4 linked regions of the Pelodiscus sinensis genome follow. The main gene of each other region encodes a partner of the protein of the gene in region 4 in a complex. Links are inferred from orthologs where the notes say so. Each region holds a gene or a part of one and is shown on either strand. Other genes may lie near its edges.

Evidence for each region.
Region 1: the proteins of KLHL12 (region 4) and PLEKHA4 are in contact, whole or in part, in a crystal structure (PDB 8OIO), measured with the Homo sapiens proteins. The link is inferred for Pelodiscus sinensis from reciprocal best matches to the Homo sapiens genes KLHL12 and PLEKHA4. Residues at the interface, in NP_067646.1 of Homo sapiens: Phe289, Arg320, Glu417, Tyr434, Ile439, Phe481, His486, Cys511, Tyr512, Tyr528, Leu533, Cys558; in NP_065955.2 of Homo sapiens: Pro177, Gly178, Gly179, Pro180.
Region 2: KLHL12 (region 4) and CUL3 share a complex: the UniProt entries of both Homo sapiens proteins name them as parts of the BCR(KLHL12) E3 ubiquitin ligase complex. The link is inferred for Pelodiscus sinensis from reciprocal best matches to the Homo sapiens genes KLHL12 and CUL3.
Region 3: the proteins of KLHL12 (region 4) and PEF1 are in contact, whole or in part, in a crystal structure (PDB 8RBH), measured with the Homo sapiens proteins. The link is inferred for Pelodiscus sinensis from reciprocal best matches to the Homo sapiens genes KLHL12 and PEF1. Residues at the interface, in NP_067646.1 of Homo sapiens: Phe289, Gln293, Arg320, Tyr321, Leu371, Glu417, Tyr434, Ile439, Phe481, His486, Cys511, Tyr512, Tyr528, Leu533, Cys558; in NP_036524.1 of Homo sapiens: Gly15, Gln16, Ala17, Pro18, Gly19, Ala20, Pro21, Pro22.

What each region holds. Positions count from the first base shown.
Region 1 is NW_027465977.1:49,417-56,467, forward strand, and holds the start of PLEKHA4 (pleckstrin homology domain-containing family A member 4), read left to right. Parts: upstream 1-4,049; 5' UTR 4,050-4,214; intron 4,215-5,238; exon of another isoform or gene 5,239-5,377; intron 5,378-6,511; 5' UTR 6,512-6,553; coding exon 6,554-6,640; intron 6,641-7,051. UniProt on the Homo sapiens protein: Binds specifically to phosphatidylinositol 3-phosphate (PtdIns3P), but not to other phosphoinositides.
Region 2 is NC_134720.1:16,974,713-16,982,502, reverse strand, and holds the start of CUL3 (cullin-3), read left to right. Parts: upstream 1-4,789; 5' UTR 4,790-5,124; coding exon 5,125-5,190; intron 5,191-7,790. UniProt on the Homo sapiens protein: Core component of multiple cullin-RING-based BCR (BTB-CUL3-RBX1) E3 ubiquitin-protein ligase complexes which mediate the ubiquitination and subsequent proteasomal degradation of target proteins.
Region 3 is NC_134735.1:4,529,991-4,537,712, forward strand, and holds the start of PEF1 (peflin), read left to right. Parts: upstream 1-4,709; 5' UTR 4,710-4,837; coding exon 4,838-4,861; intron 4,862-7,722. UniProt on the Homo sapiens protein: Calcium-binding protein that acts as an adapter that bridges unrelated proteins or stabilizes weak protein-protein complexes in response to calcium.
Region 4 is NC_134737.1:16,710,059-16,717,491, forward strand, and holds the start of KLHL12 (kelch-like protein 12), read right to left. Parts: upstream 3,008-7,433; 5' UTR 2,369-3,007; coding exon 2,186-2,368; intron 1-2,185. UniProt on the Homo sapiens protein: Substrate-specific adapter of a BCR (BTB-CUL3-RBX1) E3 ubiquitin ligase complex that acts as a negative regulator of Wnt signaling pathway and ER-Golgi transport.

The sequences.
Region 1 (7,051 bases), on a different chromosome or scaffold from region 4:
GGGAGCTGACGTCAGTGTGACGTCAGGGGAGGCGGGGCGACAGCACCACGGAGCCGGCACGTAGGCAGGCAACACCCCCCCCAGCACAACACAACACACAGAGCCCAGCAACACAACACACACACCCCAACACAACACCCCCCAACACAACACACAGAGCCCAGCAACACAACACACACACACCCCAACATACAGAGCCCAGCAACACAACACACACACCCCAACACAACACCCCCCCAACACAACACACAGAGCCCAGCTACACAACACACACACCCCAACACAACACCCCCCCAACACAACACACAGAGCCCAGCAACACAACACACACACCCCAACACAACACCCCCCCAACACAACACACAGAGCCCAGCAACACAACACACACACACCCCAACACACAGAGCCCAGCAACACAACACACACACCCCAACACAACACCCCCCCAACACAACACACAGAGCCCAGCTACACAACACACACACACCCCAACACACAGAGCCCAGCAACACAACACACACACCCCAACACAACACCCCCCCAACACAACACACAGAGCCCAGCTACACAACACACACACACCCCAACACACAGAGCCCAGCAACACAACACACACCCCAACACACAGAGCCCAGCAACACAACACACACACCCCAACACAACACCCCCCCAACACAACACACAGAGCCCAGCAACACAACACACACACCCCAACACACAGAGCCCAGCAACACAACACACACACACCCCAACACACAGAGCCCAGCAACACAACACACACACCCCAACACACAGAGCCCAGCAACACAACACACACACACCCCAACACACAGAGCCCAGCAACACAACACACACACCCCAACACACGGAGCCTAGCAACACAACACACACACACCGCAACACACAGAGCCCAGCAACACAACACGCAATCGCCCAGCACAACACACAGAGCCCAGCTACACAACACGCAATCGCCCAGCACAACACAATACACAGAGCCCAGCTACACAACACACACACACCCACAACACAACACACATCTTCCAGCACGTGCCCAACACAACACACACACCACAGCACAACACAACACACAGAGCCCAGCAACACAACACGCAATCGCCCAGCACAACACAACACACAGAGCCCAGCAACACAACACACACCCACAACACAACACACAGAGCCCAGCTACACAACACACATCTTCCAGCACGTGCCCAACACAACACACACACCACAGCACAACACAACACACAGAGCCCAGCAACACAACACGCACACCCCCCAGCACAACACAACACACAGAGCCCAGCTACACAACACACACCTTCCAGCACGTGCCCAACACAACACACACACCCCAGCACAACACACGGAACCCAGCAACACAACACGCAATCGCCCAGCACAACACAACACACAGAGGCCAGCAACACAACACGCACACCGCCCAGCACAACACAACACACACCTTCCAGCACGTGCCCAGCACAACACACACACCCCAGCACAACACAGAGAGCCCAGCAACGCAACATGCCCACTGCACAGCACAACACAACACACATCTTCCAGCCCGTGCCCAACACAACACACACTGCCCAGCAGAATCCAACACACAACCATGCAGCACGTACTTAGGCCAACTCCACACACACAGCCTAACACATATCCAGTAACACAACACACGCACTCCAGCACATATCCAGCAATACAATACACACAACTCAAAACGTGTCCAGTAACACAACCTCGCACAACCCAGCATGTACCCAGAAGTGCAATGCAACACGTACACAACACAGCCTAGGACACACTGGTTCACAGCATAGCATGTAAGTAATAGAGCTGAGAACCGCACAACTCACACACCAATAAAAATACACAGCAGTCCCCAACGCAGCACGTACACATCACGCATTATGGTATATAATGTGGTACATACACAACACAGTGCAAGACAACAATTACATCGCAACCCAGTCCCACACAACAGAGCAAATACACAACTTAGTCACAATCTAACACATACAGCATAAAAGCCTAACTACACAACACAGGCAGAGCAATCACAACACGACAATTCAGCCCCTGAGGGCCCACTCAGAACATTGAATACAGGCCGCTTGCCAACTCAACACAAACCCAACACACGCACACACAGAGAACACCACAGCTTGGCAAAACTCAGCACAGAGCCCCAGCAGACACTCTTAACACCATCACACAACAAACCCCAGCAGTACACAAAGCGCAGCCCCCAACAAACTCAGCAGGCCAAGGTCACCTCGAGCCCGGGGACTGCCACCATGCCACGCAACCACACGCTGCAACACAACAGCCTCCAGCAACACAGCGTGTGGCACCCAACACAACAGGCACGATGCAGTGCTCCAGTGACCCACAACAACACACCCGCCACTAAACGTGAGACTAGGCAGGGAGAGGAGTGGAGTCTAGTGGTTCGTGTGAGAGAGAGACTGAGCCAGGACTCCTGGGTTCTCTCCCTGGCTGTGGGGTCTAATGGTTAGAGCAGGGGGGGCTGGGAGACAGCGTTCCTGGATCCTGTCTAGATATGGGGGTCCCAAACCAGGCCCGTTGGGGGAGGGGGCGTGTCTGGGGATCCCCGTCCACTCCTGCCGCTGGGTTTTCCTCCCAGGGCAGTTTCGCTCCTTTTCACTTTCACTTTTCGGTTTTATTTTTCTGTCCTGTCAAAAACTCCAGCAGGGGCAGTAGTGAGCTGCGCTGGGTGGGCAGTGGTGCCCAGTGGTGACAGCGGGGAGGGGAGGGGGCCGTTCAGGGCTCTCTGCAAGTCTTGTCGCCACTCCGTGCCTCAGTTTCCCCATTTGTGAAAAGGGGCTCATGACCCTCCTACAGTCCCTCAGGGGGTCCCCCATATGGAGCCTCACTTCTCTTGGGAAGCCCCTTCCCCACCTGCATCGTACGGGGGTGGGCCGACATGCTGCACCCCCAGGGGCAGGGCCCCTCGTCCCGAGGGCCTCCGGCCACGGGGGGCGCCAGAACCTCAGGCTATGTATGCGTGTCGGGGCGGGGGGTGATAGACACGAGCTGCGATGGGAGGGAGCAGGGGCGACCCTCCGAGGCACCTTCTCCCTCCCCGCCCCAGCAAATCCCCCTTCGCCCAGGCACCTCTCTGTCTCCCCCCCCCCAAAATCCACTCCTCCCCCAGAGCCAGGAGTCCTGGCTCCCCGCCCCCCTCTAACCACTAGCTCCCTCTTCCCTCCCAGAGCTAGGCGAGAACCCGGCACTCCCGGCCCCCTGCTCTCTGTCCCCGCCCGGCCCTGGGGTGGGAGGGGAGTGGACAGAGGAGAAAATCTCTTTGTCCCAAGCTCCTCCGGGGAGGGCGCTGGACAGCTGGGCGGTCACTCGGGTCGGGGGGAGAGGCAGGCAGAGGCGGTGTGTACAGACCGCTAGGCGGAGAGAGATAGTTCGATAGATACAGGGGTGGAGGGGCCGGGGGATGGACGGATAGAGGGGTGCAAGGCATAGATACAGGGGTGCAGGCAGACAGCTAGGGGGTGCAGGGGATGATGGAGGGGTGAGGAGGGGAACGGACGGGTGGAAGAAAGTCGGGAGAAAGGGCGGTGGAGCGAGAGAGGAGGAGGCTGAAGGAGCAGCAGGCAGAGGGAGCCAGAGAGTTGGGGGGCAGAGGAGGGGCAGGAGAGGAGTGGGGGGCAGGAGAGCAGGAGGTGGGGGCAGAGGAGGGGCAGGAGAGGAGTGGGGGGCAGGAGGGCAGGAGAGCAGGAGGTGGGGGCAGAGGAGGGGTAGGGGGCAGGAGGGGAGGGGCAGGAGAGCAGAAGGTGGGGACAGAGAAGGGGCAGGACAGGAGTGGGGGGCAGAGAAGGGGCAGGAGGTGGGGACAGAGAAGGGGCAGGAGAGGAGTGGGGGGCAGAGAAGGGGCAGGAGGTGGGGGCAGAGAAGGGGCAGGAGAGGAGTGGGGGGCAGAGAAGGGGCAGGAGGTGGGGGCAGAGAAGGGGCAGGAGAGGAGTGGGGGGCAGAGAAGGGGCAGGAGGTGGGGACAGAGAAGGGGCAGGAGAGGAGTGGGGGGCAGAGAAGGGGCAGGAGGGGAGGGGCAGGAGAGCAGGAGGTGGGGACAGAGAAGGGGCAGGAGAGGAGTCGAGGGCAGGAGACGGGTAGAGATCACCCTGCCCCCCCAAACAGCCCGGACCCCCGCGTGCCCCCCCGGAAACCAGGTAAGGCCCGTCCTTCCAGCCCCGCGCGCTGCCCCGCGCGTGGCAGTCCAGTCATTCCAGAGCCGGCGGGGGGCGAGGGGGGGGGGTGTAGAGCAGGTGGCCGCAATGGGGGGGGTCTGCCCCCGCCCGGGTCAGTGGCCCAGATTCCTTTGGGGGGCTCATGCCCCGCTCGCCCCGGGCACCAGCTGGCAGGGGGCAGGCAAGGGGGGCTCAGAGGGGATGGGGAATATGACGGGGGCTGGTCTGTCCCGAGGGGGGAACCCCACACTGGGAGGAGGTGGAGGAATATGCCCCCCCCCCCCGCCGGGGCCCTGAGCTAAGGGGAGGGGGCGGGCGGGACGCTCTGGGCTGTGGGGGAGGGGCGGGGGGCGGACACAGCTGCCGTGGGCAGGGAGCGGACCAGGGAGTTTTGTCCTGCTCTGAATTCCAGCTAAATACCTCGGGCCTGCCGGGCCCTGGCGCTGCGAGCTTCTCCCCAGCAGTGCCCTGGCCAGGGACTGCAGTGCTGCGAGCTTCTCCCCAGCAGTGCCCTGGCCTGGGGCTGCAGTGCTGCGAGCTTCTCCCCAGCAGTGCCCTGGCCAGGGGCTGCAGTGCTGCGAGCTTCTCCCCAGCAGTGCCCTGGCCTGGGGCTGCAGTGCTGCGAGCTTCTCCCCAGCAGTGCCCTGGCCTGGGGCTGCAGTGCTGCGAGCTTCTCCCCAGCAGTGCCCTGGCCAGGGGCTGCAGTGCTGCGAGCATCTCCCCAGCAATGCCCTGGCCAGGGGCTGCAGTGCTGCGAGCCTCCCAGCAACAGTGCCCCAGCTAAGGCTCTGATGCTGCGAGCTTCCCCTCAGCAGTGCCCCAGCCAGCAGCTCCTGTGCTGCAAGCTTCCCAGCAGCAGTGCCCCAGCCAGATCCGGTGCTGCGAGCTTCCCCGCAGCAGTGGCCCAGCCGGGGAACGAGTTAACTCCAGGCCGGCCGGGGCTCTGACCAGGGGTGGGGCCGAGCCGTGTCGGATCAGGAATTCTTGGCTCCCTGCGCCCCCGCAGGCAGCTGGCCCCTGTCTCAGCCGGCGCCGCGGCCGGGGGAGCCGGGAGCAGATAAAGCGGCTCTGTGCGGCGGGTCCCCCTCCGGCCTCTCCCCCTCCCGTCCCAGGATCCGGTGACTTCACCGCTTGCTTGAGCTGCAGTAAGGGGGGGGCAGGGAGAATGGGGGGGTGGATTATAATGGGGGGGCCGGGTGTGGGGGGATACAGTGGGGGCAGGGCTGTGCCAGGGTGTGGGGGGACACAGTGGGGGCAGGGCTGTGCCAGGGTGTGGGGGGGACACAGTGGGGGCAGGGCTGTGCCAGGGTGTGGGGGGATACAGTGGGGGCAGGGCTGTGCCAGGGTGTGGGGGGATACAGTGGGGGCAGGGCTGTGCCAGGGTGTGGGGGGACACAGTGGGGGCAGGGCTGTGCCAGGGTGTGGGGGGACACAGTGGGGGCAGGGCTGTGCCAGGGTGTGGGGGGATACAGTGGGGGCAGGGCTGTGCCAGGGTGTTGGAGGGTCCGGGGAGGGCGATAGTGGGTGTGTGTCTCGGTTCTGAGGGTCCCGGGGGATGCAGGTGGTGGGGGGGATGGGCCCCCTGGAACTTCCCCCACCCCCAGGAACTTCCCTGGCTTGCGGCACTGCTGGGGGGAAGCTCGCAGCTTTGCCATGGGGCCTTACTAGCGGCTGCTCCCACCACCCAACACATGCCCCTCCCCAGAGCTCCCCCCACCCCGCAGTGCCCAGGCCAGGGGCATGAATGGCTCCATTCAGCCTCCCGCCCCCCACCCCGGCTCCGGGAATCTGGGGTCGCCTGCTCAGGTCTTGCCTTGTTCTCTCGCCCACGCACCACCCTGGGCCCTGCCCGGGTCAGGGGAGATGCCAGCCTGCCTGGCGCTGCGAGCTTCCCCGCAGCAGTGCCCCCAACCAGGGATCCCTGGCGCTGCGAGCTTCCCCGCAGCAGTGCCCCCAACCAGGGATCCCAAGCGCTGCGAGCTTCCCCGCAGCAGTGCCCCCAACCAGGGATCCCAAGCGCTGCGAGCTTCCCCGCAGCAGTGCCCCCAACCAGGGATCCCAAGCGCTGCGAGCTTTCCCGCAGCAGTGCCTCCCAGCTGCCTGGCGCTGCGAGCTTCCCTTCGACAGTGCCCCAACTGCGGGAAGCTTCCCTGCTGCGGCGGCCCCAGCCAGCTCTCCCAAGTGCTGTGAGCTTCCCCGCAGCAGTGCCCTGGTGATGTGACCTTCCCCACAGCAGGGACCCCCTCTCCCGGCGCTGCGAGCTTCCCTGACTTCCTCAGCCCCTCTTGTGTTCCAGGCGTGGGCCGGGCCGGTCAGGAGCCATGGCCGACCGGGAGCGCCCCAGGAGCAGCCTGAGCCAGGCCAGCAGCGTCCTCACCATCTCTTCTGTCAGTCTCGGGGCCGCCAAGGTGTGTGTGTGGGGGGGGGGGGGGCTGGAAGGAGGCCCCAGGGCCCAGACCTTCTGGGAGCTGTTCCCCCTTGAGCCCCCCAGCACCTTCTCTCTGATCCTTCCCCTCCTTTCCTCCCCTACTGCACCCACCTTAATTCTCCCAAACTCCTGCCCCTGGGCCAGCTGGGGGCGAGTGCCCCCTGGAGGGGAAAGGCCCCCCGCCCCATTACCTGCCCCCGCCCCCCAGCCAGGCCTTGCCCTGGGCCGGCTGGGAGCGGGCGCCCCCTGGAGGAGAAAGGCCCCCCTGCCCCATTACCTGCCCCCACCCCCCAGCCAGGCCTTGCCCTGGGCCAGCTGGGGGCGGGTGCCCCCTGGAGGGGAAAGGCCCCCCCCCCCCGCCCCATTCCCTGCCCTGGGCCGGCTGGGAGCG
Region 2 (7,790 bases), on a different chromosome or scaffold from region 4:
CACTACACCAAGTATTTTTTTTTCATGGGCAGGAAATGCTATTTGGTGACTGTTGCTCTGATATTCTTTATTTACAGCCTTGTAAAGGAAGCAAGTGATTGCAAGATAAAAGTAGAATTGTTCAGATACATCATATAAATATAGGTTACTTCAGCATCTTCTGTCATCTAATTCCTCCCAAAAGACATATGAAGCAATGGTCAAGGAAATTAAAATTACAAGTACAGAGATGTTGATTCAGGTCATACAAGAAGGAGGTAAAAAACCCTCACAACTTTTCAGGATAGGAACTAGGTGGAATATAATTTGGAATTACAATATTTTCGTTAACCTGTTTCTAAATACAAAAGTTTAGAAATAATCTTTTGAATACGTTTTCTGAATGTTTATTTTTATGCTTTTACTGGATCAAACAGACCCCCTTGATATCAACAGAATTGTTGGAGTTGGGAGAAGTATGGAGGGATGAGGATTGGTCAATAAAACAGCAAAATAAAACTTACCTCATTGTGTCATTTTTTACTAATCATGTAGTGACTTCAAAGGAACTTTTGCTTGTCAGGACTGCAGGATGAGATTCTAAATGTGATACATTGAAAACAAGCTACTCCCCATCCTCCCCTTCTCTTGAGCATACAGGCTATTACACAGGTTTTGTTGTATTGATGGTGTTATACATATCCTCAATATATCACGCAAAATTTGTGCAAAGCCTAAAACAAGCATCAACACAGACTGATAATTGTATTTATGTAACTAAAAAGAAATATGACTTTTTGTTCTTTTAAATAAGAATCTCTTCCTTCCACCCTCACATAGGCAGCTGCCTTTCTGAGTTTCCTTTCAAATGTAAAAACTTGAAAAACAATGAATAGTCTAGCAGCACCTTAAAGACTAACAAAACATGTAGATGGTATCATGAGCTTTCATGGGTACAACACACTTCTTCAGATGAAATGTTGAATGTTATAGAATGAGACCATGCTAATACACTTTCTCGGATTTTTTATTATTCTGATGCAACCCCTCACTGTGTGGATAGCGCCAAAATTCAAGTTAAGATTCTTCAATTTAAGCTATGCAATTACCGTAGCTGAAATTGCGTATCTTAACTCGAACTTATCCCCTAGTGTGAACCAGGGGTATCTAGAGCAGGAATTTCTGGCCTTTGTACTCAGAGCTTGCACACGAGTGTGAACTGTGAAGGGGACTGGAGGCAAACAGAGGATAAAAGTAGTCACAGTAGATAAACTTGAGCCCCATTATGGAAGGCTATTTTTCCCAAAACAGTTATTACTTTCTTTATTGTAGGAATATTTGATGATGTATAAATAAGATAGCTGGCATTGACTAAGATGGGCGTTAGGGCTACTAGCCATTGATAAGTAAATCCTGCCCTTCTTCACACACTCATCTCCCCTTTGATGGACACCACTAGTTCTTACGAGCAATTCCAATGATCTCTTGTGTGAGCACAAGACCCTACATTAGCAAAACTGCTTTATTCCTCCTAGAGATGGGAGCAGAAATTAGAAGAGTTCTAATAGGGGAGTTCTGTGCAGCTACCTGTTACAGAGCTGGAATGCAGAGAGGAGTGAACAGCAAGTTTCATATGAGATCCACTGGGCTGCAAACCTGCATGGGAAGAACCTCAAGCAACAATCTCTACTTGTAATAATTTTACTAAGTAAGAACCAGCAGTATTATTGAGCCTTCTATGATACCAAATGATCATACATTGCAAAGTTAAAGAAGGTTTCTTAAGAGGGCCAACATGGTTGTAACTGAATTTTTAAACGATGATCCCTCCTCTAGTGACATAATCAACCATTTAACTGACCTGAGTGGACCTCCAAAAAAAAAAAAGAGTATTTATGAGAGCTTGGTACGCTTGGATAGTGAGGTTGCACTATGTAGGGTTGCCAGGTGTCCGGTATTGAACCGGACAGTCCAGTATTTTTGCCTCCTGTCTTGTAAAAAAAATTCAGAAAATGTCCAGTACATTCTGATTTTTTTCCCAGGTAGGAGGCGAAAATCCCATTCTGTCTGGCTCAATACGGAAGCAACCTGGCAACCTTAGTGCTTACCGGATTCCGCAGGGGAGCTGTCCGGCCTGGCACAGAAAGGCAAGATGGCGGGTGGCCACCGGCAGCCTGTTAGGGCCAAAAGGCCTCACCACGCGGTTTTTAAAGGGTCCCCGGGGATTTTTTTTTCTTTTGCTTAACAACTCTCAGGGTCCTTTTTTCTGGCGTGGGTTTTTTTTTTGGGGGGGGGGGGGAGGGGTTCTGGCAACACTAGCCCTATGCATAAGGGAACAGTATGAAAAAAGGACAAAAACAGTATTCGAACGTGTTGTGCTAGAGCAGGGGTGGGCAATAAGCATCCCACAGGCCTGATGAAGATTACCAGATGCTTTATTTATGTGCAGATATACAGGTAAATCATCTGGTGGCCCAACATGGGCTAACCCTAGCAAACTGTGTATGGTCTGCAGGCTGCTTACTGCGGGCTCTATGCTAGAGCTATCAGCAGTAATGCAGGTACCTGCAATCCAAACTGCAATTTAAGGTAGGCTCCTTCTCCCAACCATTTGAACTTCTTGGAAGCAAAACTTTTAATTTAGACTTAATTGGTTGGTTTACTAAGGTCTCAAATGAGGAAGATAACACTGAAATGTATGGACACTATTTCTTCATATTGGAAGTTAGAAGGAAAACTTTGCCTCTCCTACCACTTGACTTTTTGGCTGTTAATGAAAAGTGGTTTAAGAACTAGACATTCTTATTCTAGAAACTGTACTTTTCAGAAGGGTTGAATGGCACTGTACTTTAGTCATGCTGAAATCATTAGAACTTTTTTTTTCTGTGCTCCTGTTATATAATTTTTCCATTCAGTGTATACGTAATTCTGAACAGGAGATTAAAAACATACACAAGAGGCACTTACATTAGTTTTAATGCTAAGTATTTGTTTTTAAGATGAAGGGAACAAATAGGTAAAGAAACTCTTACAGAAGACAAACTAGCTCGCAGGATATTTGTGCCTGTGTATCCTTTGTGCCAATATTTTAAAGGCATTTCTAGGAAATTGCCGAATAGTGTGATGATTTTAGTGTACTAGACTGAAAAATGCCTGTGAAAAGAGGAATTATGCTGTTGCAGGTAAAGTACAGATTGGGAACTGAAACAGGAGTTCTGTTCCTGTCTGTGCCACAGACTTCCTATATGGGATCTTGGGCTAGTCACCTATGCCCAAACTTCAAGTGACTATTAACTTTTTGTTTTTGTTCTTGAGTGACCCACCTGAAGGTCAGATGTGCTGAGCAACTGACTCTGCCTTTGACTTGCAAAATATATTTACAACATTTGATACTTTATATAAACTGTCCTAATTTGAGAGTGACCTATATTTAGCCTCACTCTCACACAGGGATTGCCTCAGGTGGCATCCTCATTTCTCAAGCATATATTGTGATTACTAAATTTTAAAAAGAGAAAACAATAACTGCATTTCAACATGACTATGAGTCTCGGAAGGAGTACAACACCCATGAGTGCCATGACTCAGTGAGCCAAAATTAACAGCTGGGAAACTTCAGGTTGATAATGGAAAAGGGACAATATGTCTGTGCAGTTTTTTACTTGGCCTATCTTTTAAAGAGACTGTTTGCTTTTGCTCTCTCCACATAGATTTGAAAGGAGTTATGGGCCTATGTTTAAGGCTGCGTCTACATTTGACTTTGTTTCCTTCAGTTTGCCCATCACTGCTACCATTGGGTGTTCAGCTATTATTACCAAATTATCAGCATATGAATAACCATCTCAGCACAGGTCTAGCAACCTGATGGCTAAAAGCTTTGTGAATGCTGGCACCTACCTAATTTATGCTAACAACTGAGTCACTATTACCATTGAGGATAGCTATATAGACCAGTGCTTATTCTGATTTCTTTATTTAAAGGCTCCATGGTGACAGAGCCTTGGTCACATTCTCAACCTTTTCCCAGTCCTTTTTTAAAAAGAAGAGTTGTGAGTCTTTCATAGTCACTTGAGTCCAGGAGCTGTGACTTTAGAAAAACACCTATTGGCATGAAATAAAAGGGAAAGAGCTGGCAGGTGGCTAGCCTAGACAACACCATCCTAAGGTCTGGGCATGTTGTCCACATGTGGGGCTCTAGTTCTAGCTGGGCCTGCAATGAGTGGAAGTAGCACTAGGCCCAGAGTGCAGTGCGGATAGTCCCAAGCTACGTCTACCCAACAGTGTTACTTTGAAATAACTGACATTATTCCGAAATAACAAAGCGCACAGCTACGTTACAAGCCTTTATTTCGAAATAATGGCGGGCTGGAGGCCGTCTTATAGCGAGGGCTGTACCCCTCAGTCAGCAGGAGTAAGGAAGTGGAGGGATGAGAGCTCTTCCTTCCACTCCTGCGGTGGGGACAGCGCCAAAGCCCAGTTAAGCTATTTCCACTTAAGCTGGGCAGTTGAGGTGGCTGAAGTTGTGTAACTTAATTGGACTTTAGCCCTGCTCTGCACAGGTACCATGGAGACCACGCCCCCGAGGCCCCACAGCAGCTACTGCTGCTAAAGCCACCACTTTCCCCCAGGCCAGCCGTGGGACCCCCTCTGCGTTCACCCCACCCGACTGCGCTGCGCTCAGCCAATCAGCGGCTGCCTTTGCCCCAGCGCGCTTTCTCTTCCTGCCTTTGCCTCCCCCCGCCCCTTTGCAGCCGGTGACAGCTCCGAGCGAAGTCTCGCGAGAGCAAAGCAGCGGGGGGGCCCCCACCCCCTCGCCCGCCCTCCCCGCCGAGCTCCTCCCCGCGCCCCTCCTGCCGCCGCGGCCGGATCTGTCTGTGGGGTGGGGGGGCGCTTGGCCCTGCGCACTGAGCGATGTTTGTCCGCCATCGCGGCGGAGGAGGGTGAAGGAAACGCCGCCGCCGCCGGAGACAGGGGCCTGCGCCGCCGCCGCCCGGAACCTCCCGTCGCCGCCTCTCTCCTCCCCGCCCCGCCGCCCCCGGGGCCGCCGCTCGGAGTGAAGGTCGCCTGGGGCCCCCGCCCGGGGTCTCCCCGCAGTCCCCCCCCCCCCCCACCCCGCAGCAGGCTCCGCTCGAGCCGGGTCCGAAGATGTCGAACCTGAGCAAGGGGACGGGCAGCCGGAAGGACACCAAGATGCGGATCCGAGCCTTCCCCGTGAGTCCCCGGCCACCGGCTGCGCGCCAGGCCCCGGCCTCCGTCCGCCCGCAGGCCCCGCGGCCGCCCGGTCTGTCACCCGGCTGCCCGCGGGAGGCGGGCTGGGGAGCAGGGCTAGAAACTCCGGGCACGGGGTTGGGCTGGGGGCTGGCGGGCGGGGGACACGCTCCGTGCCCCCATCTGTTACCAGCACAATGAAACCTGTCACCGCGGCCGAGCGGGGGAGGAAGCACCGGCGCGGGGGGCGGCGGCGCGGGCCCTTGCTAGGGTCTGGGACCGGCACTGGGGGTGGCGTCGCCGGCGCGGGCACTGGCAGGCGGCTGGGTGAAGGGGAGGCAGTTTGGGCACTGACCGCGGTTTTGGGGGGATGGTTTACAGACACTGGGAACGGTGAGGGAACAGCTCGGGCACTTACTGTGGATCGGTACTGGGGAGGGTGCATTACAGCGAGTGGGGACCCTCCACAGCATGAAGCATGTGGAGGAACCCATACTGGTGGTAATTCTTCCCCCTCAGAAGCTGTGTGTTTATTATAGTCATATGTTCCGAAAATATATTTAATGCCATTTCCAATTAAAGGCTTTCAGACAAGAAGCTACAAATGCACATAAACAAAAAAAGGAGTCTTATAACTCTATCTCTAAGCTAGTTTTCCTGCATATGGGAGATTTTATTTTGCAGGTATTGTTGGTCAGATGGTAAAACGTCAGGTGACAGTGTAACTTTTCATAGGACTGCTAGGATATATCCAACTCTGAGATTGCCAGTCACTTTAGTTATTGAGCAAATAAGACAGATTATTAATTTACACTGCTGTAAAACTGCTGTGCTTTGACAGTTTCTTCAGTTGAAGCTTAGAACAAATGAATGTGAAGACTGCTGTTAATGGTTTCCAGTATTACAAGATGTGTGGAAACTTCAGTCATTTTTAGTGATTTCCTGCAAAAGTGTGTGTGTGTGTGTGTGTATATAATATGTATATAATAAAAAGGAAATGCTCTATTGAGTCACTAGCCTTTAGTATTTATCTTAACTTTTTGTTACACCTGACCCAGCTAGCCAGTGGCAAACAATTATAATAGGTTGCTTTCATGAATAAACTGGACATACCTGTTCACATCTGTTCACCAGCACATAATATCAGGGAAGACCTGCTTAGCCAAAGCTCTTACCAATGAAGTTGAAAACTTTAATACTTCTTTAAATTGTTGGAAGTTATCTGTAGGTATTTGATTCAGCTGGATAGCTTCCCTCTTAAACTCTACTTCTAGTCAACAATAATTATTTATGTTGAAGGAAAAAAAAGTGTACTGTGAAGTAAAAGACTAGAAAGTTTTAAGTCAGGGTGGGTATCCAGTACATGGTTTGTTAGGGTTAGGTGCTGGTGGACTGCCAGATGCTTCGTTTACCTGAGTGTCCGCAGGCATAGAGCCCCCTGGCCCACTCCCAGTGGCGGCTGTTCCTGCTGTTCGCATTGGCAAGGAATAGTGAACTGCTGCCACTGGGAGCTGCCGGGCTTCATGACTGTGGATGCTCAGGTAAACAAAGCATCTGGCAACCTTCCAGTGGCTAACCCTGATGCACCTCATGTGGCCCAAAGGCTGGAGGTTCACCACCCCTGTTTTAAGTGGTGTGTGGCTGGTGATCTCCAACAGACATTATTGATTGTTAATAATACTCTTGTTCACAGCATAAACCTCATATTATCAGAACATTTGGAGGGCGGTATAGCAAAAGAATAGCTGATAACTTGTGTACTATAGTGGATTATCATACACCATTTTTGTCATTGTTAATGTTTATCTGTTTTACAGCAAACTTCTTTTCTTATTAAATCTAAATTCTGGCAGTCTTTTAAATTTGGCTAATAGGATCCATGCAAAATCTCTTTACGTATGTAGATGATGGTAAACTAAGAAGGGTTAAACAATGACTAGAATAAGTATTATTTTGCTTTTTATTTTTTGAAAGTTCTTGTAACTAAGCATATAAAATGCGGTTCGTGGGTGAAGAATGTTCATGTGGAGCTCTGCTTTCATAAGTGCTGAGAATGCTTGATATTTTTTCACCCCTCAAAATGCTTCTTGTTAGCATTGTTTTAGTTTTCCCTTTTTTGGGTTGTTTAAAGAATGGATTACAACTATCTAATTTATCTAATTATCTTCCTTTAAAAAGTAACACTTTTAAGTATATATTGACATCAAGGCCTCCAAATGCCAAATAGAACCTAACATCTGTTTATAGTATTTTTTTTAAGTTTTGCGATTTTAAAATAAATGTCCTTTTTTGCAACCAAACACAGTAAAAAGTTCACAAAGGATTTTTAACTGAAAAAGGGCATGTTAATGAATGACAATTTTTCTCTCTCATAATTATTTGCATGATAGTAAAATCTTAAAAACTATCACTCTCTCCAAAACCTATAAACATTTAGGCACGTGTGTAATTTGATTGGTTCATTTCAATGGACTCTTCATGAAGCTATATTTGTTTGCAAGACTGGGACCTGTATTTAGTATTTCCACCTTTTTTGGCTACTGTTTTCTCTTTTCACTTTCTCCAATTCTGATGCATTGTTCTGAGTTTTGAATTGTTGATGT
Region 3 (7,722 bases), on a different chromosome or scaffold from region 4:
AAGGACTCCATTGGGAATGACCAAAGCTCGGGCCTCGCGACTGGTCGTGAATGATTTTGTTTTTTATTGCTGTTAATATTTGTTTCCTCTCGATTTCCAGTGGGGTTGACGTGTCAGCGTGTGTGTGCGTGTGCGTGTCTCTGCTTGTGTGTGTAAAGGGCATTGGGCACCGTCTGCTGTGACCAGCCAAAATACCTTTCCAGACCGGGTCTTCGTGTAGCATCGCCCTGACCGGCTCTGGAGCCCCATGTGTCTCCTCTGGCTTATCTTTTCAGTTCATTCGTAGTCGTTCAGCACCTTGTCATCACCAGCGCTGGGGCTGGAAGAGCGGGCGGTGAAGGGACCGTTCTTACCGGTCGTGCCGCTGCACAGACTCAGCTGTTACGTGGGGGGAACTTCAGGCACTACTCCGCCCCGGGTGTGAAATGACATATCCCCATTTCCCATGCCTGCGTCAATTCTTCCCCTGCCCACCCGGGCCTCTCCTTTTCCTCTGCTGCTCCTTTGGTGTGTAACGTGCCAGGGTCAGGTGCGCTGTCAGCGCCTCCTTGTCCAGGTACCGATGTCTCTCCGGCGGTGGAGAGAGTTCTTGCATAAAGTCTTGGCCCTCAGCACAGTGTCATTACGGGGAAAAATAAGACCAAGCAAGTTGGCTCAACAAGACACATTTTCAGGAGGCCTCTGCATCTTCTCATAGCCATGAAGCAGAACACTCGGCGGTCTTGCTGGCCTTTAACTCAAAGCCTTTATGTTCCGGGGAAAAACAAGTGTCTAACCTAAAAACCATGACTGGATTGCTAAGCGCTCGACCCGTTTCCAGCTATTAAAATCCACCGTCGGAGTGGTCCGTCACCACTTCGCAGCTCTGTGCGAGGAAGGGATGTTTTCCTCCCTGAAGCAGGGTGAATCTGGTGAGCAAACAGAGATAATAAAAACATTCCTGCCCAAGCTTTGTTTGCATTTATTTTAGCTCTTTTGCCAGTCATCCTTAGGACTGGAATTCTACCAAATTGTCTGCCCCTTACCAGGGGTCCACGAGAATTTTTGATGGGGACCCACTCCAAGATATTAGGTAAGTGGTCATGGGCCGCCCTTTTCCACGGAGGGGATGCGGGGGTGGGACAGATGCTGGGTGCAGAAGGGAGCTCAGGGTAGGGGACTAGGGTCCAGGAGAGGCTGTGGGGTCTGGGAGTTTGGATGATGGAGGGGGTTGTGATCTGGGGCACAGGATCCAGGAAGGGATATGGGTGCAGGAGAGGATTCTAGCCTGGGGAAGGGGTGCATGGTCTGGGCAGGAGTTGGGGGGAGGAGGCGGTAGAGTGCCAGAGGCACATTCTAGCCGGAAGGCGCTTTCCTAAGCAGCCCCCGGCCAGCAGCCCGGCTGTGTACATGGCTCTCCCTGCTAAGGGGAGGCGGGAGGGAAAGGCTTTCCCCACTGCCCCCATCCCCAGAAAAATCTATCAGCTCCTGTTGGCCAGAAACCAGCCAATGAGAGCTGAACTCTCCCTGCCCCCTGCAAAATCTCTCAGCTGTCATTGGCCAGTTTCTAGCCAATAGATGAAAGATTTTGCTGGGGGGGAGGGGAGCACGCTGAAGCCTCTCCCTCTCTCCCCGCACCTCAAGGAGCCATAGGAAGCAGCTAGCCGCTTTGAGCAGCCCTGCTCCCTGCTGCCAGGGCAGGCGTGGGCCGGATCAAACGGCTCGGTGGGCCGGATTCGGCCCGTGGGCCATACCTCATCTGCCGCTGGACCAGCACCTTCGCATATCCCTGCGCACACTCTCCACCAGGGCTGTAGCCCCATCTACTGCTTTCCTCCATGGCACCCCCGTAATCAGCTGTTGTAAGGCAGCTACTCGGGCACCTGCCCACGCCTGCGCCAAACACTATGCAGCGGAGACTCCATCAGCCTCCGACACACCATTGGGCCAAACAGTGTTATCCACAGCTTACTCACCAACTCCGCCGCCCCTTCCTCCGCACTGGGCCGCTGCTCCATAGTCCCCTAAGCCGGAGCACCCCCAGGGAAGAAGAAGGGAAGATTACTTACCTGGGCAGCAACGGAGGTGCTTCGAGATGGTTTCCCCGTGGGTGTTCCACGACCGTCCCTCCTCCCCTCTGTGTAGAGAAGGAACCGGGAGGATGGTTGGCTGTGCCTGCAGGATAGCAGCCCCGAGCGGCGCATGCCGGCTGTCCTGTGTATGCAGCCTACCTAGGGCGTGGCTACCATAAATCTCGACTAGAGGTGCCGGGGTGCACAGACACCTCAGGGGGTGCACCCACGGGGACAACCATCTCAAAGAACCACAGTTCCCTTCCTTTCACGCCCACAGACGGATTGCTTAACCTGCCGGGCTTGGTGGTGTTTTACATCTTTGGACCACGCAAACCCATCTAGAAAGCTAACCAGTCCTGCCTCCTCCGGTAAACCTATTGATTTAGCATTGGCAACTGGATCTGGCCTGCATTTATTATGGCGCTGTAGAGATTTGCCACTGCTCTTCTAGGGCCATAAACCTTCACAGAACGATACAATTGTCAGTAGGGATGTAAAGTGCTGACTATGCAAACCCATCACAGGCACTATCCTCTCCTGGAAAGAAAGGGTGGGATAAGACAGAGGGTGGAGAGCCCTGGGTCCGATGGGTGTGAGAGAGGCGTATGGGAGCGTGTGTTTGTGTTGTCTCTTCCGGTGCAAATCTTTAAAAGAAGATCAATAAAAAGACTCCAGCCACTCAGGTCAACTGCTGTTAATTGGAAGGTTTGTACTGCAGAGTTTTGATTGATGGCCATTAAACTCACTTGAAGACAAGTAGTTTTTCCAGGTGTCCCATATTGAGCATAGGGAAATAAGATCGCTCTAGAGTTGGTTACAGTCGGTCCTTGCTGTTGTTAATATTGATCCCTGAGAGCAGCCCAAACCGCGGCTCAGCTGCATCCATCCATTGAGCTGCTAATTCAGAATATGAATTGGGTAGCCTGCACGTACACAGAGTGGGTCTTGGGAGCTCCGTCAGCCAGACTGCAGCCCTCAGTGGAAAGTCTGCACATTTACTGCTCCAGAAGGTGGGGTGAAGAAAACCCACGGCTGTTAAGTATTGATGTGCTTGAGTAAATGAGCAGCCCGGAGCCCAGCAGAATTCCCATTATTCTCGTTAGCCGTAAGAGGAGTAATTTCCTGAGGCGCAGTATTTAAAATTGAACCCAGCATGGCTCCCGCAGACGCTGCCTTCCGAATGTCGGCTGCTCACTCCCCCCATGACAGCGAGATGCTGTCTCCGTGCCATTAACGCGCTTGACGAACAGGGTGTAAATTGGCACCGCATGCCACTTCAAACAGGGGAGGGCAGAGTTGCCAATTAACTCTCCTTGTACTTCCCTTGGTTGCCACTGCAGCCTGCCCTGGGCAGCACCTGCTTACGCGTCTGCATTTGGGCACGTTTCCATAGGCACTCACCATTTCTTAACAACCAGTGGAAGCAAAGGCGCCCTTTGGCATGGCTGGACTAGCAGGGTGTCGGGTGGAAGCTCACGCTTTTCTCTAGCTCTCTCCGAGCAGTGAATGCTGCCGGGAGTTAGGACTCTATCAGAGAGCAGGGGGTGAGGGCCAGCAAGTGACTTCATCAAAGCCGAATGCGTTGCAGTTTGCAGAGAGCTGGCAGCCTGCTACAACCAGCACTGAGACTGCACCACAGTACCAAGGCCCAAACACTCCCTCTTGCAGGGGGCAGGGAGGGCAGCAGCTTCAAGGTCAAGCCTAAGGAGCGCAGATGCTAGAAATGGATCTGACCCCTCAGATCCTCCAGTCTCTGCGTGGGGCCAATGGAGGGTTTGTTCCCTGCAGTACACTGGCTCTCCGGCCTTAGTCTTCTCCCCAGCTTGCGACTGGAATGATTCACTAAGGAGCTCTGCCCAGCTGCAGAACGACCAAGAGAAGTTTGGATCAGAGGCGGGAAGACGGGCACAGGGGCGGGGTTTAGGGCTGAAGGGGTGAATTTGGGTCAGAAGCAGGGGGAGGGAAGAGACGGGGCGGAGTTGGGGGTGAAGGGGACAGGGCTTGAGAGAGGGAAGAGGAGAATGGATGCTGCCAGAGGGTGTAAGAGCAGCCAGGGCCGGGTGAGCAGGGGAGGAGGGAACGCAGCGAGAGGAGAAGGCCTCCCGTCGAGAGCTATCCTTGCCCCCCGCCCCTCCATCCCCGCACGAGCCCCTTGCTCAGAAAGAAGGAAGGGTTATCGTTATGGGGGCAAGGCCTGGGCCGGGCAGGACAGGGTGCGGGCATAGGGCAGGGTGTGGGTCCAGACAGGAGTGGGGACGAGGGGCCAGGCCATGGGGCCAGAGGCAGGGCAGCGGGTGGGTTTGAGGCCAGGGCGGGGGCGTAGGGGCCTGGGATGGGATCTGGGTTCAGAGGCAGGGGGAGAAGGGCACTAGGAAGGGGGGGCGGAGGAGAGGGAGGGGGGGTTGATGGGGCAGGGTTTGGGTCAGAGCCAGGGGCGGGGCTTGTAGCTGTAGAGAGGCAGGGGGCGGGGTTGGGTGGGATGAAGGGGCGGGGTTCGGGGCAGGAAGATGGGCACAGGGGCGGGGCTTGGGGCCGAGGGGCGGGGCTTGTCGTAGAGGCGGGGGGGGGGGGGCCTACGGGCGCACTCCCGGCAGGCCCTTTAGGAGCTCCTCCCACGCTCCCCTAGTCACATGACCTCCCTCTGGGCGGAGCATCCTGACTGACATCCAGCAGCAGCCAGTCGACGCTCGCCTAGGAGACCGGCAACCAATCAGTGAATCCGGTGGGCGGGGCGATACGCTCAGCGCGCGGGCGGGGCGGAAGCAGAGTCTGGTCAGAGCGCCATGGCGGGCTACCCCTACGGGCAGGTGAGCGCGGGGCAGGGCGAGGGGGCTGGAGGGGGGTGTGGGGCGGAGGGAGGGGGCAGGGCGAGGGGGCTGGAGGGGGGTGTGGGGCGGAGTTAGGGGGCAGGGCGAGGGGGCTGGAGGGGGGTGTGGGGCGGAGGGAGGGGGCGGGAGGGGGGTGTGGGGCGGAGGGAGGGGGCTGGAGGGGGGTGTGGGGCGGAGGGAGGGGGCAGGGCGAGGGGGCTGGAGGGGGGTGTGGGGCGGAGGGAGGGGGCAGGGCGAGGGGGCTGGAGGGGGATGTGTGGCGGAGTGAGGGGGCAGGGCGAGGGGGCTGGAGGGGGGTGTGGGGCGGAGGGAGGGGGCAGGGCGAGGGGGCTGGAGGGGGGTGTGGGGCGGAGGGAGGGGGCAGGGCGAGGGGGCTGGAGGGGGGTGTGGGGCGGAGGGAGGGGGCAGGGCGAGGGGGCTGGAGGGGGGTGTGGGGTGGAGTTAGGGGGCAGGGCGAGGGGGCTGGAGGGGGGTGTGGGGCGGAGGGAGGGGGCAGGGCGAGGGGGCTGGAGGGGGATGTGTGGCGGAGTGAGGGGGCAGGGCGAGGGGGCTGGAGGGGGGTGTGGGGCGGAGTTAGGGGGCAGGGCGAGGGGGCTGGAGGGGGGTGTGGGGCGGAGGGAGGGGGCAGGGCGAGGGGGCTGGAGGGGGATGTGGGGCGGAGGGAGGGGGCAGGGCGCGGGAGCTGGAGGGGGGTGTGGGGCGGAGTCGGGGCTGGAGGGGGGGTGTGGGGCGGAGTCGGGGCTGGAGGGGGGGTGTGGCCAGGTGAGGGGGTAGGGTGGCGGGTTAGAGGGGGTGTGGGGCATAGTTAGGGGGCATGGGGCGGACTTAGGGGGCAGGGCGGGGGGGTTGGAGCAGTGGGGCATGGGAAGTGCCGTGGGGGGGGGGTTGGTGTGGATTTAGGGGGCTGGAAGGGGGGGTATTGGGGCGGTGATGACCTGGGGTTGGAGATGGGGCAGTTGTGGATGGCGTTGCGGAAAGGGGGGGCTGGCACAGCATGGGGTACAGTGGTGCTCCAGTGATGGGGTGCCACCCAAATGGCATCTCAGGGTGGGGTGACACCCAGGTGTCAGGGCGGCTCCAGGCTTGTGCCATCACCAGAGGCAGTGAGGTGACTGAGATGGTTCAGATGCCAGCCACTCTGCCTTCCTCTCCCCCCTAAACTGGGTCTGTCCTGGCCCCAAACCAGCTCTGGACAATCACCTCTCAGCATGGCCCCGTGCTCCCCGCAGCGCTTTCGCCTTCAAAATGTAGCAACAGTCCTGGGGGCTGCTGCTACACTTCAAAGGCAGAGACTTATCGACTAATCGAATAGTCGATGCAAATGGCATCAACTATTTGATTAGCCAGTTAATCTAAATGTAACCTCCCTAGTCACAAGGCAGCACTACAGTGTTCTTTCACAGTCCTCGAAGATGGTTGGTTTCCCCATTTAACATCCCTCCCTGTGTAAATGTTGTAACAGGGGGCAGCAGCCGTGGCTTCCATTGAAGTTCTCAATTGCTGTTTGCCCCCAAAATCCCAAGGGCTTTACGCTCTCCAGAAGTGCCACGAAAATGCACCCGCCTTTGGCGTGCACAGTAGCACCCGGGTGCCCGCTGTGATAAGAGGAAGCAGAGTATAAAAGGGCAGGATTTTTTGAAAGTGCCTTGTGATTTTGGCTGCCTCCACTTTTTGGGGTGCAGGTTGAGACAGGCCCTGACTTTTAGAAAGTACTTGATCACCTGCCCTCTGAAATCAGGCTCCTTTTAGGTGGTCACTGGCCACGGTTGTCAGAAGACCTGAAACTGTGCCGTGCTCAAATGAATGATGTTTTCCTGTAATCTCAGTTGAGTTGCCTTTCCTGATGTCAGCTGTTTACAGCCTAAACAGTGAACTCACTGGTGGGTCAGTGTGTGTTCCCTCTAATTTTTTCCATCCATGTGCAGAACAAATTTAGTTTTGTGCGTTGAGGCATGTGTGTATCCACTGGTAGTAACTAAGGGATGCTAGCATATAGTTGTTTAAATGATTATCTGAGAAGCTTGGGTTTATCTGTTAATGTTAACAACTACACCAGGGCTACTCAACACATGGCACATTTGTTTGTGGCCTGTGGTGCTGTTTGCTTTTACGCAGGTGTGACGGGCCGGGTCTGGGCACCGCTGAGGGCATCTGCTCAGGGTGAATTGTTCAAAACCAGGGCTGCTCACAGCCCCAGACTGGAGACCTTTCCCTAACAGGTCACAAACCAGTCACACTGAGTGCTTCAGCTGCCATCCAGCCAGCAGGAAGCCTCACGAGCAAAACCCCTCAGACACCCCAGCTCTCCCTGTGCCACAATCAGCCCTGGGCCTACACACTGGTGAGGGGTTATGGAACCCAATCGCACCTACCCCGAACGGGTTCTCCCAGTCCCAAGAAACCAGCCACAGATCCCTGGTCAGTTTACACTTTTGATCTTACCCACAAAATCACACTGGGCCAATTCTTTAGAATCTAAAATCGAAAGGTTTATTAATAAAAGAAAGAAAAGTTTGAGAGTAGGGTTGTTAAGGAGAATACATTACATGCACCAATCACCAAGTTCTTGATGCAGGCTCTCAGCAGAGATGTTACACACTGCTATCTTGCGTAGCAAGGATGTCTCTGGCATACATCCTATGTCAGGACAGGTCGGCAATCCTTCCTGGCTCTCCGTCCCTCGCAAGGCTGCATCTGGGATCAGGAGCAGAATTGAAGACAAGCTGGAGTCTGCCCCATATTCATAACTCCACATACAGACGTCTCACAAGTACACGAGCAGCATATATAGAATCAGTAGGACACAATCTTTTATTTGACACCTCACACGGCCCCCTTTG
Region 4 (7,433 bases):
CCAACGCCAGAAAAACCCCTCTGTTCTTTCGATTTACTTACTTTCGGAAGAACACAATTGTGGTGTGGACATACTCCCAGTTTGCTTCAGCCTGCTCTCTCCGTACCAACTAGGAAGCTACTAGGAAAAGAAAATTCTCTTCTTTGGCTGTGTCTAGACTACATCCCACTTTCAACAGAGGGATGTAAATTAGACACTCAAAATTGCAAATGAAGCGGGGATTTAAATATCCCGCGCTTCATTTTCGTAATCGCTTATGGCACTCTTTTGAACAAGTGCCATTTTGAAAGTAAATACAGGACTATGTAGCACTTTAAAGACTAACAAGATGGTTTATTAGATGATGAGCTTTCGTGGGCCAGACCCACTTCCTCAGATCAAATAGTGGAAGAAAATAGTCACAACCATATATACCAAAGGATACAATTAAAAAAAATGAACAAATATGAAAAGGACAAATCACATTTCAGAACAGAAGGGGGATGCGGGGGGGGGGGGGGAGGAAGAAGGTAAATGCCTGTGAGCTTCCCCAATTATCACCTCTAATACCATTAACTCACAGACATCTACCCTTCCCCACCTCTAATATCATTAACTCACAGGCATTTACCTTCCTTCCCCCCCCCCCCCCCCCGCATCCTCCTTCTGTTCTGTAATGTGATTTGTCCTTTTCATATGTGTTCATTTTTTTTAATTGTATCCTTTGGAATATATAGTTGTGACTATTTTCTTCCACTATTTGATCTGAGGAAGTGGGTCTGGCCCACGAAAGCTCATCATCTAATAAACCATCTTGTTAGTCTTTAAAGTGCTACATAGTCCTGTATTTTGTTTCAGCTACACCAGACTAACATGGCTACATTTCTATCACGATTTTGAAAGTAAAACCGCAGTCTATACCAAGGAGTACAGGATCTTTCGAAAAAGCCTGCCGTTTTTGAAAGAACTGCAACTAGACTGTTTTACTTTCGAACAAGCGCCATTTCGGAAGAGTGCCATGACACAATTATGCAAATGAAGCACAGGATATTTAAATCCCTGCTTCATTTGCAATTTCACAGTGTCTAATTAACATCCTTCTGTCGAAAGAGGGATGTAGTAGACACAGCCTTTGTGTAAGAAGAGGCATTAGAAATGTAACTTTTACAACCCCAGTTCCATGATCCATAGAATCATAGAGCTGGAAGAGACCTCAGTAGGTCATCAAGTCCAGCGCCCCGCCCAAGGCAGGACCAACCCCTTTCTGCCTCCCCTCATTTTTTTCTATTTACCACTGCATTAAGTTTGAAGCAAAGCACAGAAAACGACTGCTAGTTAACAATCTGAACCAAACAGTGAATTGCAGCACAGCCAAACATTATCTCCTTTCAACATTTTGCAAAAGGATGTGCAATTAGTGTAAATCACTAGCAAGTAGTCAGAAGAAGAGCCTGGTTCATGGACAGGGCACTAGCCCTGGAGCTCAATGCTCTGTTCTATTCCTGGTTCTGCCACGGACCAGCTGGACAACTTTGAGCCAAGTCCACTCTCCCCTCCCCACATTTCTCAGTCTTCACTGTGACAGGCTGCAAGCTATTAAGGGCTAGAATGGCCTCTGGTGGTTAGCGATGTAAAAGTTCAACAGTTACAATTATATATTTTAACCCATTGACTTTTTAAATAGCTATTTACTGCCAGTAGGGATGTACTCAGGACAAGGGGGTCTAAGCACTCCTGTAGTATTGAACTGGCAGACAAAGGCTTGTTGGATGCCACCAGGAGCATAGGGGATGCTCTACCAGCCAGGTGTGAAAGGAATGCACAGAATAAAAGCACTTTCCCCTCACTCCCGTCCAGGGAACAGGATGAAAAGCAAGCCATGTCCCATAGGGTTGCCAGATTGTTTCAACAAAAATACCAGACACACTTGACATTCCATCACAATCTACATTACACCTGATTTAGAAAATACCAGATATTTCTATTTTCTCAATTTGTTTCCCGAACAGAAAGCTCAAATACTGGACTCTCCGGTTCAAAACCGGACACCTGGCAACCCTAGTCCCAGAGCGCATGGCAGCTGCTACCCCCCATGTGCCCGAAATGCGCCCTTGCCCAATACCATGTCAATGTGGCTGAGATGAGCCCCCTCCAGGACCGCACAAGAGTGTTCTACTGGATGTACAAGTGGCTCTCGAGAGCCTACCTCGCTGGTGAACATGGCACAGAAGTAGTCGCTGCAGGCTGCCAGCACAATGCGGTGTGCGGCAAAGTCTTTCTGTTCAACACGCAGCGTCACGTCACAGAGCGTACTGCTCCTCCGCAGGGCGTTCATGGCGTTCAGGATGGACTTGGCGTGCGAGTTGGTCATGATGTCCTTGGGGGCCATGGCGGCCCTGTTCTCCCAGCACGGGATGGGGCAGGGGGACAGTCTCTGATCCCAGGCCCTGCTCCTCCAGAAGCGTGGGGGGGGGGGGGGAGGGTGTCACTGTGGCCACGGGCCCCGCTCCCCCGGCACGGGGGGGGGGGGGGGTCACTGAGGCCCCGGGCCCCGCTCCCCCGGCACGGGGGGGGTCACTGAGGCCCCGGGCCCCGCTCCCCCGGCACGGGGGGGGGGTCACTGAGGCCCCGCTCCCCCGGCACGGGGGGGTCACTGAGGCCCCGCTCCCCCGGCACGGGGGGGTCACTGAGGCCCCGGGCCCCGCTCCCCCGGCACGGGGGGGTCACTGAGGCCCCGCTCCCCCGGCACGGGGGGGGTCACTGAGGCCCCGGGCCCCGCTCCCCCGGCACGGGGGGGTCACTGAGGCCCCGCTCCCCCGGCACGGGGGGGTCACTGAGGCCCCGCTCCCCCGGCACGGGGGGGGGTCACTGAGGCCCCGCTCCCCCGGCACGGGGGGGGTCACTGAGGCCCCTGGCCCCGCTCGGGGGGGGGGGTCACCGCGGGTGGCGGGACACGGGCCGGGATCTGGTGGCAGGTGAGCGAGGCCCCGAGACCAGGGAAGGGGCGGGGCTAGAACGCACCACGTGGGCAGCTGCCAGCTCTGCGCACGCGCCCAGCCGTGGGGAGGCCTAGGGCTCAAAGGGCGCAGGAAAAGCACTTTTAACTCACGCATCCAATCACATCGGCCGGGGGGTACCAGCGACCAATCGCGGGGAAGGTCATCACAGCAGCCTGTCGCCCGCCCCCAGCGGAAATGCTTGTGCCCTGAATCACGTGGGACACAGCGGCGGTGCTGCCTTTGGCGGAAGTGGCGTCACACCCGAGGCTGTTTCCGGTGTTGCCAGCCGGAGCCGCCGCTGCTGCTGCCCGGGATGTAGGGCCGGTGAGTGCGGGCGGGAAGGGGCAGGCGCGCGGCGCGGCTGCGGGCGGGGGGCCGGGTCCCCTCCCGGCGGGCTCGCTGGTGCTGCGGGCCCGGGGCCCGCCTAGGCGGCCCGCCGCGGGCAGAGTCAAGGCGGCCAAGGTGATGCCGGGGCAGCTGCTGCGGAGCCCGCCGGCCTGGCGCTGGGCTCCGTTCCCAGCGGCGCCTCGGCTCCCGCGGCTCTGGCCAGAGCGCGCCGGGGGCCCCGCGGCCCGACCCCCGCTCAGCGCCCCTACGGCGGCCAGACATTGACAATACAGGGCACGAAAACAGCCGGAATCGCTCCGTCCGATTGTCCCTCTTGCCCAATATCCCGCCTGCGGATGATGACTAATGCAAGGTGCTTCCGAGGGTGTGAACGGCGCCGGCAATGATCAAGTGAGCGATCCCTGCTGGTCCACACCCAACATCTGGGAAACCGGCTAGTGCAGGGGTGTCCAAACTTTTTTCAACGAGGGCCAGATTTGATGAAGTGAACATGCGTGAGGGCCGACCATTTTGCCTGACATTCTTTGAACCATTAAAATTAAATGCAAATTAACTATTTTACGCAAAGTTTATTGCAAACGACATACTTTTCATTTCGTCACATGGATGACAAATCTAAACAGGTGTTAAATCACTCTGCCTTTCATATCTGAAGGCCAGATGAAAAAAAAATCCAGGAAGCTGAAATATATGTCAGGAACATTGTAAAGTACATTACATATTATTGGTAATAAAGGTTGTCTGTCAACTTTTAAGTTCAAAAAATATGAACAGGAACATAACACCAAGTATACATGTTGTGTCCAAATATATTTTTAACTGATTTAGACCAACGGACATTAACTGAGATTTTACAATGTATTCATCTCAATTGGAAAAAAAACTTGCCTGCACTAATGTGAAGGGTGAAACTGAGATCTGGACTGCAGCACATAGGCTAGGTCTGGTTCAAAGGCAGTGGTTTTGATGCGCAAAATGTCACGCAGGTGAGAGTCACTCAGTCTTGTCCTCACGCGGTTCTTGTTAAACTTCATAGCAGAGAATGTCTTCTCACACATATGTTGAGCCAAACAAGCTCAGCATTTTCTTAGCCAATGTTCGAATCTCTTGAACCCGGCTCTTATCCAGTTGGCGGTAAAAGTTCACAAGAGAGAGCTGTTTGTGATGACTGCGTAACTCGCTGTCACAATGCAGCTCAATGAGCTCGAGCTGCAGCTGATCTGGAGCATCATCGGGGTCAACCGAGAATGGAGAGGAGAAAAGGCTGATCTCCTTTTCAATAGCTGCAAAATCCTGAAAGCGCCGTTTAAACTCCCCAGCCAGAGATGCGATGTCTGCTGCATACCTGCTCGTTTGCGCACTGATATTGTCCTGTGGAAAACTGTTCATTATTTCCTGCAATGCTGAAAAATGTATGGTATTGGGCTGTGTTTGTGACAACTGCCTTATGAAAAGTTGCAGCTTTGTTCCAAAGGCTTTGAGGTGTGAATAAAGCTGGTTCACCGCTGCATCTTTCCCCTGAAGACTCGTGTTCAGTACATTCAGATGCTTTGTTGTGTCAACTAGAAACCCCAAATCAGCCAGCCAAATAGGATCGGATAGTTCTCGCATTGATTGTCCCTTTGTTTCCAAGAATTCTCCGATTTCCTTTCTGAGAGAGTAGAAACGCTGCAGTGCAGACCCCCGACTGAGCCATCTTACATCGTTGTGATATAAAACATCTTCGTATTCAGCCTGGATGTCCAGTAGAAACTGTTTAAACTGGCGGTGGCACAGGGCTTTAGAGCGAATAAAATTAATAGTCTTTAGCACCGGTTTCATAACATGATCATATTTGAGATGTTTAGCACAGAGAACTTGTTGATGAATGATACAATGGAGTTTAATAGCTCTGCCTCCTTCTTCGATCACCTTGTTACAGATTAGGGTTGATAATCCACTTCGTTCACCAGCCATGGCAGGTGCCCTATCAGTAATAATCCCAGTAACTTTGTTCCAAGGCAGTTTCATGTCATCTATGGCGGAACTAACAAACAAATAAATCTTTTCCTCTTGTTTGGTCCGTAAGGCTCTGGAGGTCAAGTAGCTCTTCAGTCACATTCATTTCATCGTCCACCCCTCTCATAAAAATCAGCAACTGAGCTGTGTCAGATAGGTCCGTGCTTTCATCACAGGCTATTGAAAAGAAGTCAAAATCCACTCCTTTGGACGTCAACTGTCTCTTAATATCTGATGAAATCTCTTCAGTTCTCCGTGCTACAGTGTTACGAGCCAGGCAAATGTTGGCAAACTCTTGCTTCTTCTCGGGACAGATATTCTCAACCATTTTCATAACGCATTCTTTGATAAAGTCACCCTCAGCAAAAGATTTGCAATTTTTAGCAATTAACGTTGCCACCTCATAGCTCGCCCTTGTGGCATTTTCATTTGACTCACGGGCTCTTGTGAAAAATCGCTGTTGTGACATTAAAACAGCTTTGAGTTGCTTCAACTTTTCACTGCGGTCGCGCCGTGTTAGCTTGTCGTATGTGCTATGTCTCGACTGGTAGTGTCTCTTGACATTAGATTCCTCATAAACAGCCACAGTCTCTTGGCATATCAGACAAACACAGTGATTCCGTATTTCAGTGAAGAAATATTCCACTTTCCACCTGTCCCTCACTGTCAACTTTCCTTCTCTTATTTACAGTCGCCATTTTTGAAATTGACCAGAAGGGGAAGGGATCATGTGAGCGCAGTGCCAGAGGTTTTGGTCTAAGTGTGTTCGTCCGAGCACTAATACACTGCCCAACAAGAATTCTCTTGCCTTTGTGGCTGTGTGTGGTGAAGAGTCTAAGGATGAGCTTGGGCGTGTTCGCAGCTCCACGTGCCTGAGCCCGCCAGGAAGCTGACAGCGCGCAGGGCCAATCACAGGTACTGAGACATTTCCCGATCTCTGCAGCTGCGGATCGGGAAAATGTCTCAGTACCTGTGATTAGCGCTGCGCGCTGTCAGCTTCCCGGCGGGTTCGGGTACGTGGAGCTGCGAACACGCCCGAGCTCATCCTTAGTCCTGAGCGGCGCTCGGGGCTTCGTTGGGGGCCATAAAAGATAGATATTGCCAAATTACCTGTGGGGCCGTATTAAACCGGAACACGGGCCGCAATTGGCCCGCGGGCCGGACTTTGGACATGCCTGGACTAGAGGCACCCAGTACACGATTGCCTCCCTGCCCGTCCTGGCTAATAGGCATGAATGGCACTATCATCCATAGATGTAGCTAGGTTTTTTTTAATTCTGTCATCATTTTAGCCTTCTCGACATCCTCTGGCAAAGGGTTCCACAGGCTGACTGAATTGTGCAAAGGAATAATTCATTGTGTGATCCCTTGTTCCTGTATGATGTAGGGATGTAAAATCCCAGTTTAAGTTTACCATTTAAATGGTATGTTTAACTGGGATCAGTAGCAGGAAGCTGCTCTCACCTGGCTGGATCTGCTGCTCCTGCCAGGCTAGGCTGCCAGTTAACTGGTTACCCTGAGAAGCATGCCAGTAAGGGTAAGGCTAATGTTTATCAGGTAACCCCTTACATCGCTAGTGTTTTGTGAAGGGGTAAATAACATTTCCTTATTTGCTTTCCCCACACCAGTCAAGGATGTATCATATCCAGTTTTAGTATTCCCTTTTCCAAGTTGAAATATCCTAGACTTTTTAATCTTGTAGAAGTGTTTACACCAGTGTTTCTCAACCTTTTTTTAATAAAGTACCCCTTTAAAAAAAATTATAAGTACCTCCAGTACCTACTGATTTCAGACACAGATTTTTTTTCTACCATTGCACATTTGTTTAAACAACTTAATTGTAGCCAGATGGATGATGAAATTTTTGGGTGTAAAAAGTATAAAAATAATAAAATGCTATAAAACTTAAAACAAATATTCAGTTTTGTAAATGTACCCCTCCCCCCAGACTTCTCTCAAGTACCTTAAGGGTACTCGTAGTACCATTGAGAAACACTGTTTTAGACCCTTAATCCTGCTAAATCAAATGCTGAGGGCGCCTTCGTCGACACCAGTACTCCTCAAATCATGAGGAGCAAGGGAAGCTGATAGGAGCACTTGCTCCCATCT